Drosophila melanogaster: one gene and its partners. The protein of the gene in region 1 interacts with the protein of each later gene in a biochemical or structural test. Each region holds a gene or a part of one and is shown in the gene's direction. Other genes may lie near its edges. The genes, in order: pnt, edl and rl.

Region 1 (5,121 bases):
CACTTTGCCTTTGCTGGAGTCGGACATTTCCGTGCTGTTTAGCAGAAATAAAATAAATAAATGTAAATAACTTGTTGCCGCCAAAAATCTGCAAACGTCTCAGAAATGTGCTAACGCGTTGCAGAGAATGCTGACATTTAGCTGTTGCACAGCACTGTAAAGTAACACGTTTGGCGCCAATTTCAAAATGTTACTACAAATAAAAGAAAACAAGAAAATTATTAAATGGTTTTAAGAATATAAGTTTTACCTAGAAATCCTCAATTATTCTTAGCTTTGTAGTTCCACCTAACACAAATTAAAAAAATAATGCTTAAAATCTGATGAAATCATAAAATATAATATTTATGTTTATTTCATCACAGCTTGACCATTTTAGCTATAATTTTCCTGTAATGGGCATTAAATGCCCTATTTGCTGACAATTTAAGGACAGCTGCTGGCCAATTGAGTTGGCCTGTTGGCCATGTGTTTTCCAACTGCTGAAATGTGAAGTTTTTTCTACTAGTTCTCCGCTGCAATGGCATCATGCAGTCACGCACACAGGCGCATTCATTCATAAAAATCCGGCTCACCTACACGAGTTGTAAGATTCCAGCGCAGTGGAGAGAGGGAGAGAGAGTGGGAGAGCGGCGCGCATGCGCTCTTTGAGTTCTTTTTTTTCGCTTGCTGCACTTGTCGCCCCCTTTTATGTTTTTCAGTTTTACCTCTGCGGCAGCAATTAAGTTGCAGCAGAGGTTGACAATCAGCCATATTTTTATTGCACGTGTTTCGTTATGCAAGGCTGGTTAAGTTTTTTTTTTTTATGTGTACATATACGCTCCCTTGGCCGGGAAAATCGGGAACGCCATCAAGTTTTGTTATCCCGAATCTTATTGCCCTTTTTCTGGGTGCAGCTGGCCATTTGACTGCCGCCCCTGCACTTGCATTCACTTATGCTGTGTAATTTGTAATTTATGCGAAATGCGTTGCCGGAATATAAAAACATTGCAGTCGTTTCAGTTCCATATCGCCGCTCTCTGTCGCACACACTCTCCGCACACATAAACCTGTTTGTGTTTTTGATTTGCGCGAAAGAGAGAGAGAGAGAGAGCCTTTCGAACGCACAGTGGTTGTCATGGTCACGGTGGGAAAATATCGCGCTTAACTTTTTTTGGGGTGTCCAAAAGTATTTTCCCAAGCTGCAGCTTTCCCACATTGTGTGCAAACTTTAATAATGATAATAATAAGTTGATAATTTAATCTCACATCAAAATTTTCATATAGGTATTATTTCATATTAAATAAATATTTTATTAATTATTATAACAAAGAAACTAGTATAATTTTCCTTTTAAATAAGCTGGAACTGATATTTTGACCAATTTACTTTATTTGTCAAAAATATAGATTTGTATAAAATCCAGAATCAAAATAAATAAATTTTTATATCAGTGTACACAATTGAAAGACTGAGACTGCCAAATTTTAAAATATTTGTCTTTATTATTCCGCCCCCTTTGCATACTAAATATTTTAAATATACTAGTGATTTTGGGCACTGTTTAAATGCTTGCCAAAAACGATCGCCCGCACACACACACACACACACATACACGCACCCACACACTCTCTCGCATATTCGCACTTACACTGAGTTCTGAGCAAGCAGATTTTTTTTATAAATTGTTGCTATTTTTTTGTCGCTGCAAACACTTTGTTTTTGCTGCTCGAAATATGTAATTCTGATTTCCATTTTTTTCTTGCGCTCATGATGCACGCTCTAGTGCGAGTGCGAAAGAGATAGCGAGATTGAGGATCACCCACGCCTTTTCGTTTTCATTCCAGCGATCAAGTAAAATAGCGAATAATGTTTATAAGTCAGATTGATATAACTCTCGATTTTCATATTATTTGCCATTTTTGTTATCACTTGCCAGAGCAACACAAAAAAATATTAATCTTAGCAGCGGAGAGAAAGAGAGAGAGAAACGGAGAGAGAAGGTGCGTCGGCGTTGGCGTCAACGCTGCGTCTGCGCCAACGTCGGCGTCGCTGCCGCCTGTTGCCAGTCGGTCAGTCTGTTTTTGTCTTTCTTTCGGGAAGCGTGCACTTGCGCTACGGTAAATTCGATTTGAATGAATTATACGAATCAAATAACAAATAAATAACAAATGCAAAACACTTTGCAAGCCAAGCAAAAACCCAGTGTGTAAGTGAATGAGTGCAATAGCAAAACATCTAAAGATCTGCGCGCGCAATATACATCAAAAAAAGGAAGGCAAACAGCAACAGAAAAAAAAACGCGGTTCAGAAACACAGGAAACCAATTTCTATATACGAAATTCATCATAAAACCACAAAAATCTCCTCAAACATCGCGTGAGAGTGCCTGAGTGTGAGTGTGCGCGCGCGTGTGTGTGTTTGCCAGCGATCCGTCGGCCTTTTTTCGGTTTGTTTCTTTTCGCGTCTTATAAGCCGAGCTAAACCGATCCCCGATTTCTTCTCGAGTTGTTCCTTTCGGTTTTTCGTTTGTCTTTGTGCCCGGCACGTAATCCCTCTCTCTCTCCCCCTAATCAACCTGCTGATCCCACCGGAGGGTTAAAACATACACATCTATACAGCGTGATAGAGAGAGAGAACGAGCAAGAGATAGTCATCGGTGCTGCGGAGTCCATCAAGATTGTGCGCCTAATTTGAAGCTGTAATTAATTTGGATACCCTAATAAAAAGCCAACCGAAAGACGGTCTTTAGAATCCAGAACCCACAAACCAAAAATCAAGAGCCCAGTAGCCCCCGCCTTCTTGTTCACGAAGGGGCGCTATTTTATTACCCCGCACCGGTAAGAAAAGTGAAGTGTTGAAAAACAGTAGTTCAAGTATTAGTTTTTGTTATTTTCCCTACACTCGAAACAAAAATCCAGCGAAAATTAAAAGACAAAACAATTGAAAACAAATAATAAACCATATATCTCTTAATTGCTGTTGATATATAGTTTTGAAATATAACTTTTAAATCATATTTATCTTAAAAATATGAAATTTAGAGAGTTTCTTTTGAGTGCATGTAAACCCTTTTTGTGTTGGTGTTGCCTGTTTTCTTGAATGAATCTAGGAGAAAACTGGTTTGGCTACCGCTCGGTAGATCCGCCGATCTCGCGATCTCGCCTCGATTCAGGATTGCTGCCTCTATAAACTCGTTGTTGGCCAGGCCAACAGAATTTGAATTGGTTTTCTACTCGGCATCATAGCCAAGCTAGTTAGCCGCCAGTGTGCGTGAGTGTGTGTGTGTGGGGCACTTCCACAACCCTTGTGGGAAACACGCTCGAAATTACTACTGTTCCTTTTACAGCTTCCGGTGCGGCAAATGAGCTTCGCCTGCCCCACGATCGCGTTTCGGGCCATCAATCCAAGGGGTTTGGTAATCGAGAATGTGTGAACGGTTTTTGGTTAGGGTCAAGAATCTAGCACAGCGATCGCATTAGACAATTAAGTATCAATAAAACTGATACCGGAGTGCTACTCTTTTGACCTTTCGGTTTTAAAGTATGTATAATTGGGGCTTTCCTGTTCTGCACTTTGGGTTACCTGAAAGGGTTTTTAAAAGGATCTTACAATTTGGGATGTAAATTAAAGTAATTATTAATACAAAAAAGATCAAAGGATAGTTAAAGGCTTAACCGATATCATATTTTATAAAAATGTTACCATTAAAATGATTAATTTTACAATAAGATTTTGCTTAGATCAATTGTTATTATTTCTATGATAAAACTTGATTTACGTCCTTATCGCAGTCTTAAAGCCAAAAAACGATAATTTAAGGAGTTACGATCATTGAACTACTCTAAAGACATGTTTAATATCCCTTGGGCTATTTAAAAAAAACCAATTTGCGAGCAAAATACACAAGGGAATGATAAGAAATTATTGCCATAATCGATAATTTGATGTGTGACGATCGTCGGATCATAATTGAGCCCAGCTACCGCCAACCGCTCCTCTCCCTTTCCCTCCTCGAGCGTCTGGTCCGAAATGAAAGACCAGTTCAAGATCCTTTTCCATAAATACCCACAGACAATTACAGTTCAGTGGATGTTCGACGGGCTGGTTCGTTGCCCCATGCCACGTTAAACTCGGATTCTGTGCCCGGACCGATGCTAAAAGTATCAACCTGCTGCAGACAGGCCGAGATCAAGATCGATCCCATGACAAGACAAGACGACACACTCGCACAGATATGCCACACACACAGATACTCCGCACACATAGATATTCCGCACACACATGCAGTTCGGACTGTTCTGCGACAGATAGAACAACACATGTGTACACAGGCAGGCATCCCGAGGATCATCAGCGGATCGGAGATCCCTTCTTTACATTCAGCGCGAGGAAAAAAGGGCCAGGCGCTGGGAAAGAAAAGAGCAGCGACTAAATGTGTATTCTACCGTTACGTACACATCGAAAAATTGCACCCCTATTTGTTGCCGCTGCTGGTGTTTTAGTTGTTGCTGTCGTTGTCGTCTGGCCGAGGAGTGCGCACCATATCAAAAGATCATATTCGTTTACAATCTGTTCTTTAAGCATCTGCTGCGCCCAGACTCTCCTCCAGACATCAAAAACTCGGACTGCCAGACATCTTCCACTCGTTTGGTCCACTTACTATGGGCCAACCCAAAAAATTTTGCTCTTTTCCAGGGAAAACATATGCTCCGATTTTCGTTTCAATTCGATTCGTGTGGTTTTTTGTTGTCGCCCTCGCTCTCCCTCATACATACGTATATATAATATTTTATTTTATTTTATTTTTTTTTTTCGGTTCGGTTATCTACGTGTCGGGGCGATAAGGTTTTTTGTTCAGATAGTTTTAGCGATTGCGACTCGTTTTTGGCACCCTGCCGAATGATTTTTGGTGCTCGAAATGCTGCGATTTGAAGGCGGTTTTTGAAAAATGTGCCACTTTCAAACTTACGCATTTGTTCCTCGATTTTCCCTCTGGACTTATCTGCATTTGAGGAATTTATTTTCATATGAATGATTGATTGGTTTCAAAAAAAAAACTGTGGAATTCGCGAATCGATAAGGACAATTGTCAAGTCACTTTTAATTAATTGACTAAATAAACCCAAATTAATCTCTGC
Region 2 (7,972 bases), on another chromosome or scaffold:
CTCTCATTGCACATCCTGTGTCCAAGACGATTCTTATCGCCTTCGAGATACTCGTACCTAATGCTTAGATTCAAATTCCGATTCCTGGCCAGACAATAGGGAAAAAACGTTGCAATTGGATGCAAGGCAGCTGTTTTGGCTTGGGTTCGTATGTGGACAGGATGAGCCGGGGATTAACTGTATGTGCACTTGGAAAAAACCCATGCAGGATTATAAAATTAGTGAATAAATATTCAAACATTCGCTTGATCACTTTTATATTGATATTAAAGATACTGCTAGCTTAAAATTATAAAATGGTCTATATTATATTCTTAAAATCAAAAGTACTTTTCAAGTTCTGCTTGATTTTACATTATTTTTTTGTGGGTATACATTTTTCTCCGTGTGTCCTTATCTACGCGCGTCCTTCGCATCGCAATTAGAAATGATTAGAACAACGCCGCAATCAATTAAGGAAAATGGTACCTACTCAATTTATTTGCCCGGCGATCGACAACTGCTGATAAACAAGCCATTAGATGCACTTGAGATCGCAACAGGACACCGCTTCAAAGAGTAGCTGCTGCATCTGCGCTGCAATTCGAGTGCAGCTGATCGATCCTGCACCTATGCACCTTTTTCAGGGCGTACGCGTGCCCGTGGGCGTGGTCCTGCAACTACTGATAAAATTTCCAAGTAAAAACTGGCGTAACTCGATCAGCGGCATGATCCCGCCTCACGCGATGGTTAAAAGGATTCCAGCACGCACTTGACAGCTCTGCACACATGGCTGACCTACAGTACAGATAAATATATATATGTATGTATTACCATATGCTATACCATTCCGATTCGAATCCCCAAAAAGGATCTCCAGAGGTATCCCGATATCGCTTGGCATGCGTGCCAGCCGCAAAACATTGAAATGCTTTTTAGTGCGCGGCAGGAAAAGGATTTCCTGTAATTACTCGACGATCAATGCTGGCTGAATAATTAGGAACGTTCCACGAAATTAATGAGTTAGTTACTTACAGAATTAATGAATGCACAAGTGCATGATAAATCTTCGAAAATTGTTAATGAATATGGTGATAAATTAAGTGTCAAGGTCTAGTCATAGAAAACGTGGAATAATATAGGAAAAGTACAAAATATAAAGGTTATGGATATTTGTATATTCTTTTATGACATATTAATTTCAACATTTTATTTCAAAACATGTTTTTAATAACTACTCCTTAAAATACTTTTTTTTCAACTGCGCACAGAAGTGTCAAAGACACTCGATGACAGCTTCCAGAAAAGATATTTAGAACATTCGAATGCAGGGATTAACCCGACGGATTGCCTTTCTCTGGCTGTATGTGAATCTTTCGTTTCCTTAATACCCCTATAAATAAGAATACAAATACCATAAAGTCTGTTTTCAAATCCCTTAATCCTTGAACAAAAAAGTTCATACAGCTAAAGTTAACCCACATTTCTATAGGCCAAGGAACTATTCGTATTTCCTTCATTCTGGAAGCCAAAGAACCTCTTTTCATTGACCTTAGCTGTTGGCTCAATAAGCAGGAAAGATTGTTCGAAATGCGGGTCTGCATATACACTGAAACAAAAAACTAAAAATTTTCAATATATTCACCGATATTAAGTCAGTAATAAACTATATAATTCTATACTTTGATATGATTTATTTATATAAATTAGGTAAATATTTATATATAGACATATATCAAAAACTAAATTCTTAAACATTTGTTAATAAGAACAAAAATTAAAGTTAACGCAATAAGTAAAAATATTTTTTTTTTTTAATTTTTCCAACTTTTAATTGTCCTTTTAATACTAATTTCTTTCTGTACGCGATCTACAAATATGTCCACAGCTGTTGTCGAGAGAAACTGCAGAGCTGAGAAGCCGGGCCGAAATTCGAACTCGAATTCGAAGAGAGCGCAGTCAACAAAAACCGCTGCACGAGCACGATCGCAATCAGTTGAGAACGTGGAGCGCGCGCGAGCAGAACGCAGACACAGATACATTTCTGAGCTTCATATAGATTTGCAGTGCGCATTACTCACTCATCCGCCAGATACAAAGATACGTTTCGCAGTACGCCTGACGATTGCAACTGGCAAACTGGATTTACCACCCCAAAAAAAAAAAATAAAATAAAAGAAATAACAAAAAATAGAAAACCAAAACAATAGCCACAACTACAAATCGTGTTAAGTGAAAAACGAAGCCAATTGCAGTAGCAACGAAAAACTTTCAAAACCCGAGCCATAGCGAAATAGGAAAAGTAGTTCAGAGCGTGAAAAATACGTTATATGCTGCAAAAGTTGTGAAACGAAACGTATCCGAGAGATACAATCCCATTGGGAGAGCGAGAGCCAAGCAAAGTGCAGTTTCCAGAAGCAGATACCATTTAAACATATTTATAACCCAACCGAAACCAAACAAATAATAAAGGCTGAAAAATTCGAATACACCCAAAAAAACAAATTTTCCAACAACTCAACCTCGACGACGACGATTCGCAACACAAACTATTGTTGGATTAACATTTTTTTCGATCAAGGTAAGTCGGTTTACATATGCTGTTTTCATTTTTTTTTTTTATGGCCATCATTAACACTCAAAAGCATTCCGAAGGTTTAAGTTGACTCTTGGCTTTTATAGTTGGTATGTAGCTGTCTTGCAGCCCAAAAACCGACAAAAGTTGTCTGTCAGTTTTGATGTGACTCTGGCTAATTGACCTCCAAGCTGGTGTTTTCATAATTAAGCTAAAATGAAGCCGAGCGGTAGTAACAAATTGAAAGTTCACGTAGATACATATTTCAAGATATCTTGAGGTTCGACTGGTTCGGCATTTGCCAAGGGAAATAAGCTACATAACGGCTAAGATACATCTTTTGGGCCAAAAAGAGGAAGACCACCTTGTGCTGCTCGACTGATCCCTTAATAACATACAATTTCGTTCTGTGCACTAACAAAGCGACACTTAAAATGCCAAGACGGCAGCTGCAAACAGAATTGTTGTGGCCAAGTCGATAAAGATGCATTCGGCTGGATGGTTTCGTGGTTTCTCCCAGTTATTGGACCCGTTTCTCTGTTCATTCTGTTCTTCTTGCTCACACTGAATGCGCGCGCATGCGCAAAGGATATGGAGTTGTATGGGCGTCGAGGGTTGCAGCAGGAGTGGCATACCGTTTGCCCCGCGTGTTCTGGGTAATCTTTGCAGCTGCAGGACTGAACAATCTGCACCTGGCCTCGCCCGCTTAATTAATTTCCCAGCTGACTCAGCTCGCCGTCGTTCTTTCTCGTGGGGAGGTGGAAATGACAAACCTCTGACTATGCCACTCACTTTGATAAGCACTTACTGGGCCATCGGGCAGGGGACCCACTTCCTGCTGACCCAAGGGCGGCGAGGAGCTGGGGATCAGCTGCAATGGCTCACTTCGCGATGACACGTGCGAGGCGTGAACAGTGAACGCGGAACATACATGAATCCCCTACTTTCTTAGTTCCTATCACATTCATTTTAATTTACTTGCGCTACTGCACATTTGACAAGACTCAAAGCGATTCGAAATGCATTTGGCGCCATTTGGCCGCACGGTACTTATATTTTTAAACGCATCAGCGACAACAAGACCGAAAGTCGTCACACATCCGTCCATCACACATTGGGGGCCACAGTGCCGCACACTGAGCGAAAAGGTTGTGTGCGAAAAAAATATCTCTCAAGAAATAATATAAAAATAATATTAAAGATTAAAAGCACTGGGACTTTATTCCAACTCTACTGGTCGAATAATAGCCAATTTTGTTGTTGCATTGTGACTATTTCTCTCAGTGTGCAGCGAAATGATGAATGGGGCTGTTGGGGGCAGACAGAGACGGCGCGACAGCGTCACAGTGCCACTGAATGAGACGGCAATAGCAGACGTCAGGCAGACGATGCAGTTGCGCTGCCTTCGCCTCGATGGCGTTACATGATTTGTAGTATCAGCAAACATACGTCACAACAACAAAAACAACAACAACAACAACGACAAGATGTGGCAGCATGTGCACAAATGCAATCCGGTTCGCTTGCCCGCCAAGCTAGACGAGCAAAAAATGTTTATTTTTAACAATATTCCACAGATTATCATCTGTCGTCGTCTGATGCACTTCGATGAATGGGCGAGTTTGTTGCCTTGAAGGCTAGCCAAGAAAATGAGACTTAGATTTTAGCAAATTAACAAAACAACAACGGACTGATTATTAGCATGATATAAAAATATCTCACTATTTACTTAGTCATTTCATCCAAATATCGCCGATAAGCCACTGGCTCATTTACATTAGTCAGATTAGTTATTCTGCAAGCGGATTACACGCAAATTCTTACAAAATATGTCAATTTAAATTTTTTGAATATTTGGAAATATTAAATGTTAATGCCTGTGGCCCTGCAAAACTCATACAAATTGTGATCCGCGGAGAAGAATCTGTTTAGTTGAGCGGAAACCGCTTGAAAGATGAAAAGACAAGCCTGGAGAAAGAGGAAATTGTGGGGCATAAACACCCGCCGACAAAAACAGACAAGATACACAGATACAGATACACGCTCGAAACAGCGAGAATCACATATATTTGGCGGATAGCAAATTACGCACTTAAAGTGCTCGCCAAATGACAGGAAACGCGTCATTTTTACGAACTTCAAATTACGATTTTTTTTTTTTTTTTGTATTACGTTTCCTTGTCTTCCGGACACTTAAAGTTCTGCATGTGTGAGTGTTGGTTTAGTGGCTGCTACTAAGTAGCATGAGAAGACAGACTCAATATATTTTCGTGTATGCAATTAAAACTGGCGCACATTTCCTCATTTATTTGTGCGAGTGTATTGGCGGGCATTTCCTTGAAAAAGGGACATGGGGGTGTGCATCCTGTGCGCAGCGGATATGCGAACGTTGCACCGACGACTCAACTTCCTGCCATTGACTTTTGTCAACCGAATAGTAACTGAAAACCATTTCCCTTTCCTTTTCCTTTTCCTTTTTCCATTTCCATCCATTCATCCATCCACCGAAAACAAAGCGAAGCGTGAAAAACAACGCGTGCTGAGCACGAGCTACCGATCAACTCGAATGTCAATGCCATATGCTATATGTACATATAGGATACAGGGTATACTATAGTTGGCTCCCCTCCCCGACAACACGAATCAATCACTTCGAAACTCAATTTGGGTGGGTGGAGGTGCATTCGAGTCAACGGAAGCCTCGCAGACAGCTCCCTTCGGCAATTGCTGACTAATCCGCTCTGGTTTTCCATTTTTCCGCTTTTCACACGCTTTTCGCGCGCGTGGGAGTGAGAAACTTCGGCCTTTATTGGCTTCTAACGTGGGCGGAAGTGAATGCAGTTTGTGAATGCAGTTTGAACCAAATGTCAAGAAGATTGCATGCTAATTTGAGTTAATATATCATTTAGTTAGGATCGTATAATAATGGATAAGTTATTTTAGAGCCTATGCTTCATGGGTGGGCTTAGTTTATTCCACTTTAAATTGAATTTGAAATAATGTGAAATAATTGAATTCCGCCCGCTGGGGGACCACCCGAAGATCGACCAGACTTAGGGATTCTTAATGGGTCATTCTCCACCAGGGGGTTCTACTTCGAGGGCTTTGTTATTTCCAACTAATGGTGTCTGGAGTGTCGCTCTACTAAATGTTTCAAATTGTTTATGGCAACCGCTGTGATTCACCATTTCGTTTTGATTGCCGTGGTCTGTAATATCTGCTTTCACTTCTACACATTAATCGTAACTTAAGATTCGATGGATGCATTACCTACAATATATACCTACTGCTGTGATGCATTCCTATGGTTTATTGCTCTGAATGTTTGTTTGTAAATAAGTAGATAAATAAATATGTATTCCCAGAAGAATCAAGAGTAAATAATTTTGAAAACACGTACATATGTATCAGAAATGGCGATAAAGATATACCCTATTTCCTTTTGCCAGCTTGAGTCACAGTTTCGTGGGAATTTCTTTGAAGCCGCCAATGGGCTGTGTAATTAAAACCACTGCGTCGTCTCCTTACGCATTTCCTTGAACGGAAGCTCCGGGGAGCTCATTCCGGAAAACTATTAAGGTTCCCTTTTGGCGAACTGGGAATCTCGACGCCGCTCTTCCGCCGGCTCTTTCCCGTTCCCATTGCCATTCTTACCCACATTCGCATTGACACCTTTTATGATGATCCGTCGGCGGATGTACACATATATATATATTTTTATTTTGTTTAATACCACCATTTCGGTGGCTCTTTGTTTTGCTCGCCACATTCGCAGCTGCCAATTTGGCTGGTAATTATTTCCGTTCCACTCTGTTTTGACCTCATCACCACCATGTCCTCCTCCTCCTTATTCTCCTTGGGCCGGATTCCCCCTGATCTCTGACCATCTTGTTTGTAATCGCAATCGCAGCTTGGCCTGCGTTTCTATGTCAGCCACATGCCGATACCGCCGGCCCCGCCCCCTATGTTTCCCCCCCATTCAAATGTGACCGCCGATCGATATGACAGCCACCGCTTCGTAATGATTATTCAGCGCTTCCTTTCGCTCGCCATCCGCCGCGATCCGCTGACGCCGCCCATTCCGGCAGCAAGGTCAGATTTAATAACGAAATATTAATTCGAAAAGGAAGTTCAGCAGCCGATAGGCGAATAACAGATACCCTCATGCAAAGTATAGCAAAAGTCAAAATATGCTTAGCAAACTTGTTTGTTGTTAAGCTGGCTGATTTTTTGAAGTTTTGTATTTCATCAGGAATCATATGTTTATGTGTATATCATTAAGATTATAATCGCTCGTAATCTTTTTGTCAATATACCCTGCAATCGTGAAAGAGCGAGGGTCATCACACTTGTGATGTGTACAAATCGGCGTATGCGTGTTATTATTTATATTAGTATGCGCTTGTTTTGTTGTTTCTTGCCGTTGTAACGATTAAAACAATTGCCAGCTTGTGGAAAGCATTTCCGTTGTACTAACCCCATCACTTGCCCGCCAATGTGCCGCTTTCGCCCGCAAAACGTGAATCACAAGCCTTAATCAGCAATTCTTACTCCACTTTCAGAACTCAAACGTTGCGAACGGAAGCGAAATGCAAGTGGAATCGAGCTATACCAAATATGCCGGACGTGTGCCACCTTTGGACCTCACCCAGGTGAATGGTGGCCAAGATTTGTGGGGCGGCAATGGTGGCGGCAATAACGCATCCGCCAGACGCCATCTGCATCATCCCTATCAAATGCTGGACAAGTGCCGCGGCGGAGTAACCCTGATCAGTGCATCATCCGCCATCTCATCTACATCCAACTCCTCCGACGACAATAACAATCGACTGATGAGCGCTGATGATGGCACCACCAGTCTGCTGCATCCCTTGGGCTCCGATGGTCTGCCTCTGGATCCGCGCGATTGGACGCGAGCGGATGTCTGGAAATGGCTCATCAATATGGCCGTATCCGAGGGATTGGAGGTCACCGCCGAACTGCCACAGAAATTCCCCATGAACGGCAAGGCATTGTGCCTGATGAGTCTCGATATGTACCTGTGCCGAGTTCCCGTGGGCGGCAAGATGCTCTACCGCGACTTCCGGGTGCGACTCGCCCGAGCAATGGCCCTGCTATCATAGGGATTACCCATATATCTCACGGATACCCAGTCCTCTCTATGGTTGTACATATCTCTAGGATTCGATTAGTTAAGTTCTAGTTATGCTAGCTTATAATGCCTAGTCCTTAGTTCTGCTCGTCATTTAAGTATTAGCGATAATATTCTGCATTTCAATATGGTCAAAGATTGCTTCAAGTTTTCAATTCATTTTGAAAGAAAAGTGATTGGAGTGAATAGAATAAAAGATTGAAGTTACAATGCTGTCCTATTAGTTAACTAAGTTCGCATATGATGAAAATATAAAATGAAATTTT
Region 3 (5,087 bases), on another chromosome or scaffold:
TTCGCATAGCTGCTATCGCCACCAAACATTTCTGCTCAGTCACAGAACACACTAGTCGGCACTACACACACTGTTGGCAGTAAAATTTTAAAATGACTTAATATGATAATAATGATTATTTTTTATTTGTTGGGTGTAAGTAATATAAACATAAAAATTAACAAACGATATAGACAAGTTAATGTAATATGATTATTTTTTGTATTGGCATAAGTATTTTGACAAGCCTTTAATACCTAAATAAATAAGTTTAAGTGAAGCTGCAGCTTTTTTTAACGAGTTATTCTCGAAAGAACTTACATCTGTCCATAAAACACTTTTCCAGAACGAAATTAGTGAACCGGGGTTAGAGTTTTCTTAAAAGTTTGCATCTCTATATTCCAAAGCGTTTGAAACTAACAAACACAAACTGTAATTTACAAAGTTAAGTTAAGAAATTCGACAGGGACAGATGATCAACCGAAGTTGGACGCTTACTGTGTTCCTCCATATAATTTTACCTCACCATTACTTAATTTAAGAATGTCTTCATTTTTGAAAATAATTGTGTCCAAGGGTAAACCAAAGTTCTTAAGCATTGTTTTCCCTGACAATTAAAATTGAACAAAAGAAAAATGATAAAGGAAATTAAAGTTGAAATTTTTAAAGTAAAGATATATTTGAATTTATTTATGAGTCTTAATAAGTTCTTTCTGTGCTCTCTAAGTCCATTCACGTTGGACCCACTTCTTCTTTAATAGATAATACAAATGAATTATATCAAAATCACTGGTTCCTGCGCAACTTATTGCGCCAACAACGGCAACGACTGACGTCTGGACTGCGGCAGCGCCGACCAAACACAAGTTTTGCAGTCTGACGGCTGTTAAACAAAATCCCAAAACTCCATACACAAACTAAACTAAACTATATACTAAAACTAGACATCAACTGAGTTGGGCATTTTAAACAATGTGCTAGCTTTGCAGTCGCTCTTTGCGGTGCTACACTTGTACCCGCTCCGTCATGCGAGTTAAACTGAAATGTATTCTAAGAATGAAATAAATTGTTAATAAGGAAAAGGTCATGTTATAAAATAAACCTACATTAATTAAAAAAATTAAACCTACACTTATACCTAAAACCATGGTATTTCATTAATTCATAAAATAAATAGCTGTCATAGACATATTTTTCACGATTTCTGTAAACTTATATACTTGGCGTACGTAGCATTTACTTCGGATATCACCTTAAGAGTAACAAATATATTTAAGTACATTCGGATTTTTTAATGTAAAAATATAAAGTTTTTGACATCTGATAGTATTTTGTTTAAAAAGAATGTTCGATCATCAATCATCCTCCGTTGCAACACTGCTGAATTTTCTGTAGTGGGCAAACTACATTTAGTTAGCTGTACATTTGTATATGCTTCTGAGTAGTGAGCTGTTAAGAAATTTTATTATAATATAATAAAAAAGCAATTAAAGGATTTGTTTTCTCTTAATTAAACATTTAATTTCTGCTTTCGTGTTAATATGTATATTCTACATTGGTTTGTAGTCACGTCTTAATGGTGGGAACAGTACTTTTAGTTCCGTTTACGCTGAATTTACATCTGTTAGGTCACACAGCAGAAGATGGCACATGCCTGCTTTCTTGTTTTATTTTAATGGGCAATAATAGCTTAAATTAGGAATATAACACTAAGTCAAAAGGTTTTTATTTCTGCGCTCCCATTGAAAAATGTCCAAAAATATATTTAACCCAACATCAGGTTAATATGTGATGATCAATTTCCTCCTTTAATACCAATTTTTAAATAAAAAAATGTCTTACGCAATGACTGATCATTTTTAAATTATTATATTATTTAATATTAATTGTGGAAATTGTGGCTGCCAAAAGACTGATGTACCTTTTGGGATCCGATTATAATTGGATCGGATAAACATTGACCAGTGTCGTTATCTTAACATATTATTAATGTTTTACGCCGTCGATTTTGATAAATCATATTTACGCATTTGTCTAAAGAGTAAAAAAAAGTTGAGTTTATATATTCATATCTTAAGTTATAGACTTTTGGTTAAATTCATAATAAAGTAAATAAAGATTTTGCACTTATTGCTGTTCACTTAAATAAGATAAAGTGGGACATATTCAGTTGTAAAAGTGTTATTACAATCCACGCATACATACATTGCGAATTTTGCAGATACGGTGTATTTTGTATCATAACATCTTTAGTAGTATTTCAAGTTTTCCAGAAGAAACGTTAGTCATGGAGGAATTTAATTCGAGCGGATCAGTAGTTAATGGTACAGGATCTACGGAAGTTCCTCAATCTAATGCTGAAGTTATAAGGGGACAAATATTTGAAGTTGGTCCTAGGTATATTAAACTCGCCTATATAGGTGAAGGAGCTTATGGCATGGTTGTGTAAGTACCTAATACCTATTTTTATTTTTGAAGCCGTTTTTAATCTACAGTGTTTGCACACCTCTTTCTTGTTGTTCCTTTGTCCATTATTCATAGTTTTTTTTTTATCTTGCGGTTCTCCTTCCGAAATGCAGTAATACTCAGAACCGTGTTCTCTTGATTTTATATCAAGTAATACATTTTGTTCAAGTCCTTTGCTGTAAGTTCGCATACATGGTATTGCTGAATCAATGTTATTTTTCGAAAATGCATTAAATTTATTCACATCAATCATACGCAGTACTAAGCTGTGAAACACTTAACAACGAAATAGTTTCTCAAATTTTTGATTTCTTTCTTTTTCTCTAAACGTGGCTTAGTTTTGCTTTTTCTTTGACAAAATCAATCTTTAAGGGTCGACACAACCGAGTTTGTTTTCATGCAAAAGCCTAAATTGGCCGATGGACTTTATAAATAAAGGAAAGTCAATAGCTTCTGAGTCATATTGCTTGCTTTTAAACGCTGCGCACAAAACTTTCGTTTACCGGTCGATCGGTTGTTCAACGCAATACAATTTCTCGCTAAACTTGGATTTGCTTGTTAAAGTACTCTTTTACTCGGTGCCTTTATACCTTTTTCTAATGCTTTTGGACATAATTAGGGATTATTCATTCATTCATTAAAAGTAAATTTGGAACCTACATTTTCAAAAATAAAAAATCAACACATTTTTTAAAAGTTGCAGTTGCAGTTTTGGGCGGAGAGTGGGCATGGCAACATTTCATTTTTCAGTATTTAAAAATAAAAAATATTTAGTTGAATTATTTTGTTATATTCTTATAAAATATTTAAAAAGCGGACATTTTGTTTTTTTTTTTAGTTTCTTTTAATTTTAAATTATAGTTTTATGTTTTTTGATTAGGTTGGAGTTTTGAGGTGGGTAGCAAATGGGGTTGATTGACTGAAGAGAGCATATTTTGGGGAGGGGTCAGTTCATGTAGTGGGCATTGGTAAGGTTGGTGTGTCCAAGCCTGAGCCTTTTTATTAGGATTTGTGTTTTCTTATTGTGTTATGTAGTGTTGTAGCTTGAAGGATGAGCTCATACCAGGGAAAATTGAGAAAAGTCGTCACAGTTGTAATTTGAGGAGTGTACAAGGGCGTATCTGTGGGCATCTTTAGCTGTTTTGTCGGCGTATTCGTTGGCGGATATGCCGATGTGAGTGGGCATCCATATAAGTTAAATAATTGGGAAGTGGTTGGTGAGAGGGTTTCTTATTGTGGATAGATATTATGAGATGTTGATTGGTATTGGTATTGGTGAGGAAATTTAGGGCGGACAGGAATTCGAAGCCCGGCGGCTAAATTTAATTTTGCTGGCGTTGCTTGTTACGCTATAGCTTATTATTTAATTGGATATCGAGCCATATGTGTGGCTGCATAGTTGCAAACCAATGTATGGCCGTTACGCATCTTGTTATTCTAGTGTCTTTGATATAACATTGGTTGCTGATTTTAGTGTTCTTCTGGACCTTAAACTAAAGTTTTTCAGATCATATTTCGACTATTGTCAATAAGGCAGGGGTGTGCTTGGTTTAATAAAAAGGAGGTCAAAGGAATTAAATGATCATTACAGCACCAAAACCTTATTCATTTCGCTAGTCCGTTCGATTCTTGAGTATACGTACCTCAATCGGATCGCATTGAATCGGTCCAAAAAAGTTCTTCTTTTAAGTTTATAGCTATTTGGCTGTACAAAGGAATACTTAAATATATTCCTTATTTGTCGCTGTTCTGCTATAAAAAATCGGAATTCACCACCATATCCTATTATTTGTTCTAATTTATTTTAACAGAATGTGCATAAATCCTTAATGACGAACATTTCTTGGACCTAATCCATCTTGGGACTGTTGGAGAACATCTATGGAGTCTGCCTTAGTTATTAGGTCTTCCATAGCGATATCATTCCTAATTATTTTACATGCGTATTTTACTAGATTCGTTGAAATGTATGTGACAGGCAGAAGAAAGCGTTTCCGACCACATAAAGTATATATATTCTTTATCAGGATTAATATCACACCAATTGTTTTCTTTGCAATTTTTTTTGCCTTTCTTTTCTTTCTTATCTTTGTTTTCCACACCAGAGTTATTTGTAATTTCTTTAACTACATAGCACAAAAGTTATTACTCTTTGCATGCCACTTAAATTATGAGTGATTTTGTAAATAATTCCTACTAAGCCCTAAAAATTGTCCCAGGGTCCTGTTTAACGAAATTCATTTCTGCGACGACGTTGTATTATTATAAATGTTTATTTTAAAATAATATTTCGCGAAATATGTGAGTGTAATATTAAACTTAAATGAGTTTACAAAAGTTTGTGGTGGTTCCCTGTGTTGATCTCAACACCGACTGGACACATTAATTGTATTGATCTCCATGCTCTCTTTTTTCACGCTCTCTTGTGGCGTTATTAATAACATGGTTTACTATACATTCATTTACTATATTCATTAAGCGTTTCAAATCATAATGTATTTCTAATGAACCCGCTGCTTCTTTTTTTTTCTTGTCCACTTTCTTATAGCAATCCAAGGCTTTCGCCTGTTGAAAATTTGTTCCAATGCTTATTAGTTCATATATGCTAAAAATCAAACTACTAAATCATATAGCAGAACATA

Evidence for each region.
Region 2: the proteins of pnt (region 1) and edl form a complex in vitro, tested with the Drosophila melanogaster proteins (2 studies listed by BioGRID).
Region 3: of the proteins of pnt (region 1) and rl, one has a biochemical effect on the other in vitro, tested with the Drosophila melanogaster proteins (one study listed by BioGRID).

Annotation. Positions count from the first base shown.
Region 1 is NT_033777.3:23,343,097-23,348,217, reverse strand, and holds the start of pnt (pointed), read left to right. Parts: upstream 1-2,050; 5' UTR 2,051-2,820; intron 2,821-5,121. Other genes in the region: PolE1 (DNA polymerase epsilon subunit 1), read right to left, coding at 1-27.
Region 2 is NT_033778.4:18,667,534-18,675,505, reverse strand, and holds the start of edl (ETS-domain lacking), read left to right. Parts: upstream 1-1,969; 5' UTR 1,970-2,560; intron 2,561-7,116; 5' UTR 7,117-7,143; coding exon 7,144-7,677; 3' UTR 7,678-7,972.
Region 3 is NT_033778.4:1,070,016-1,075,102, forward strand, and holds the start of rl (rolled), read left to right. Parts: upstream 1-1,959; 5' UTR 1,960-2,030; exon of another isoform or gene 2,031-2,235; 5' UTR 2,236-2,266; coding exon 2,267-2,424; intron 2,425-4,256; exon of another isoform or gene 4,257-4,326; coding exon of another isoform or gene 4,327-4,349; intron 4,350-5,087. UniProt on the Drosophila melanogaster protein: Serine/threonine kinase which acts as an essential component of the MAP kinase signal transduction pathway to regulate proliferation, differentiation and effect cell fate decisions in various tissues.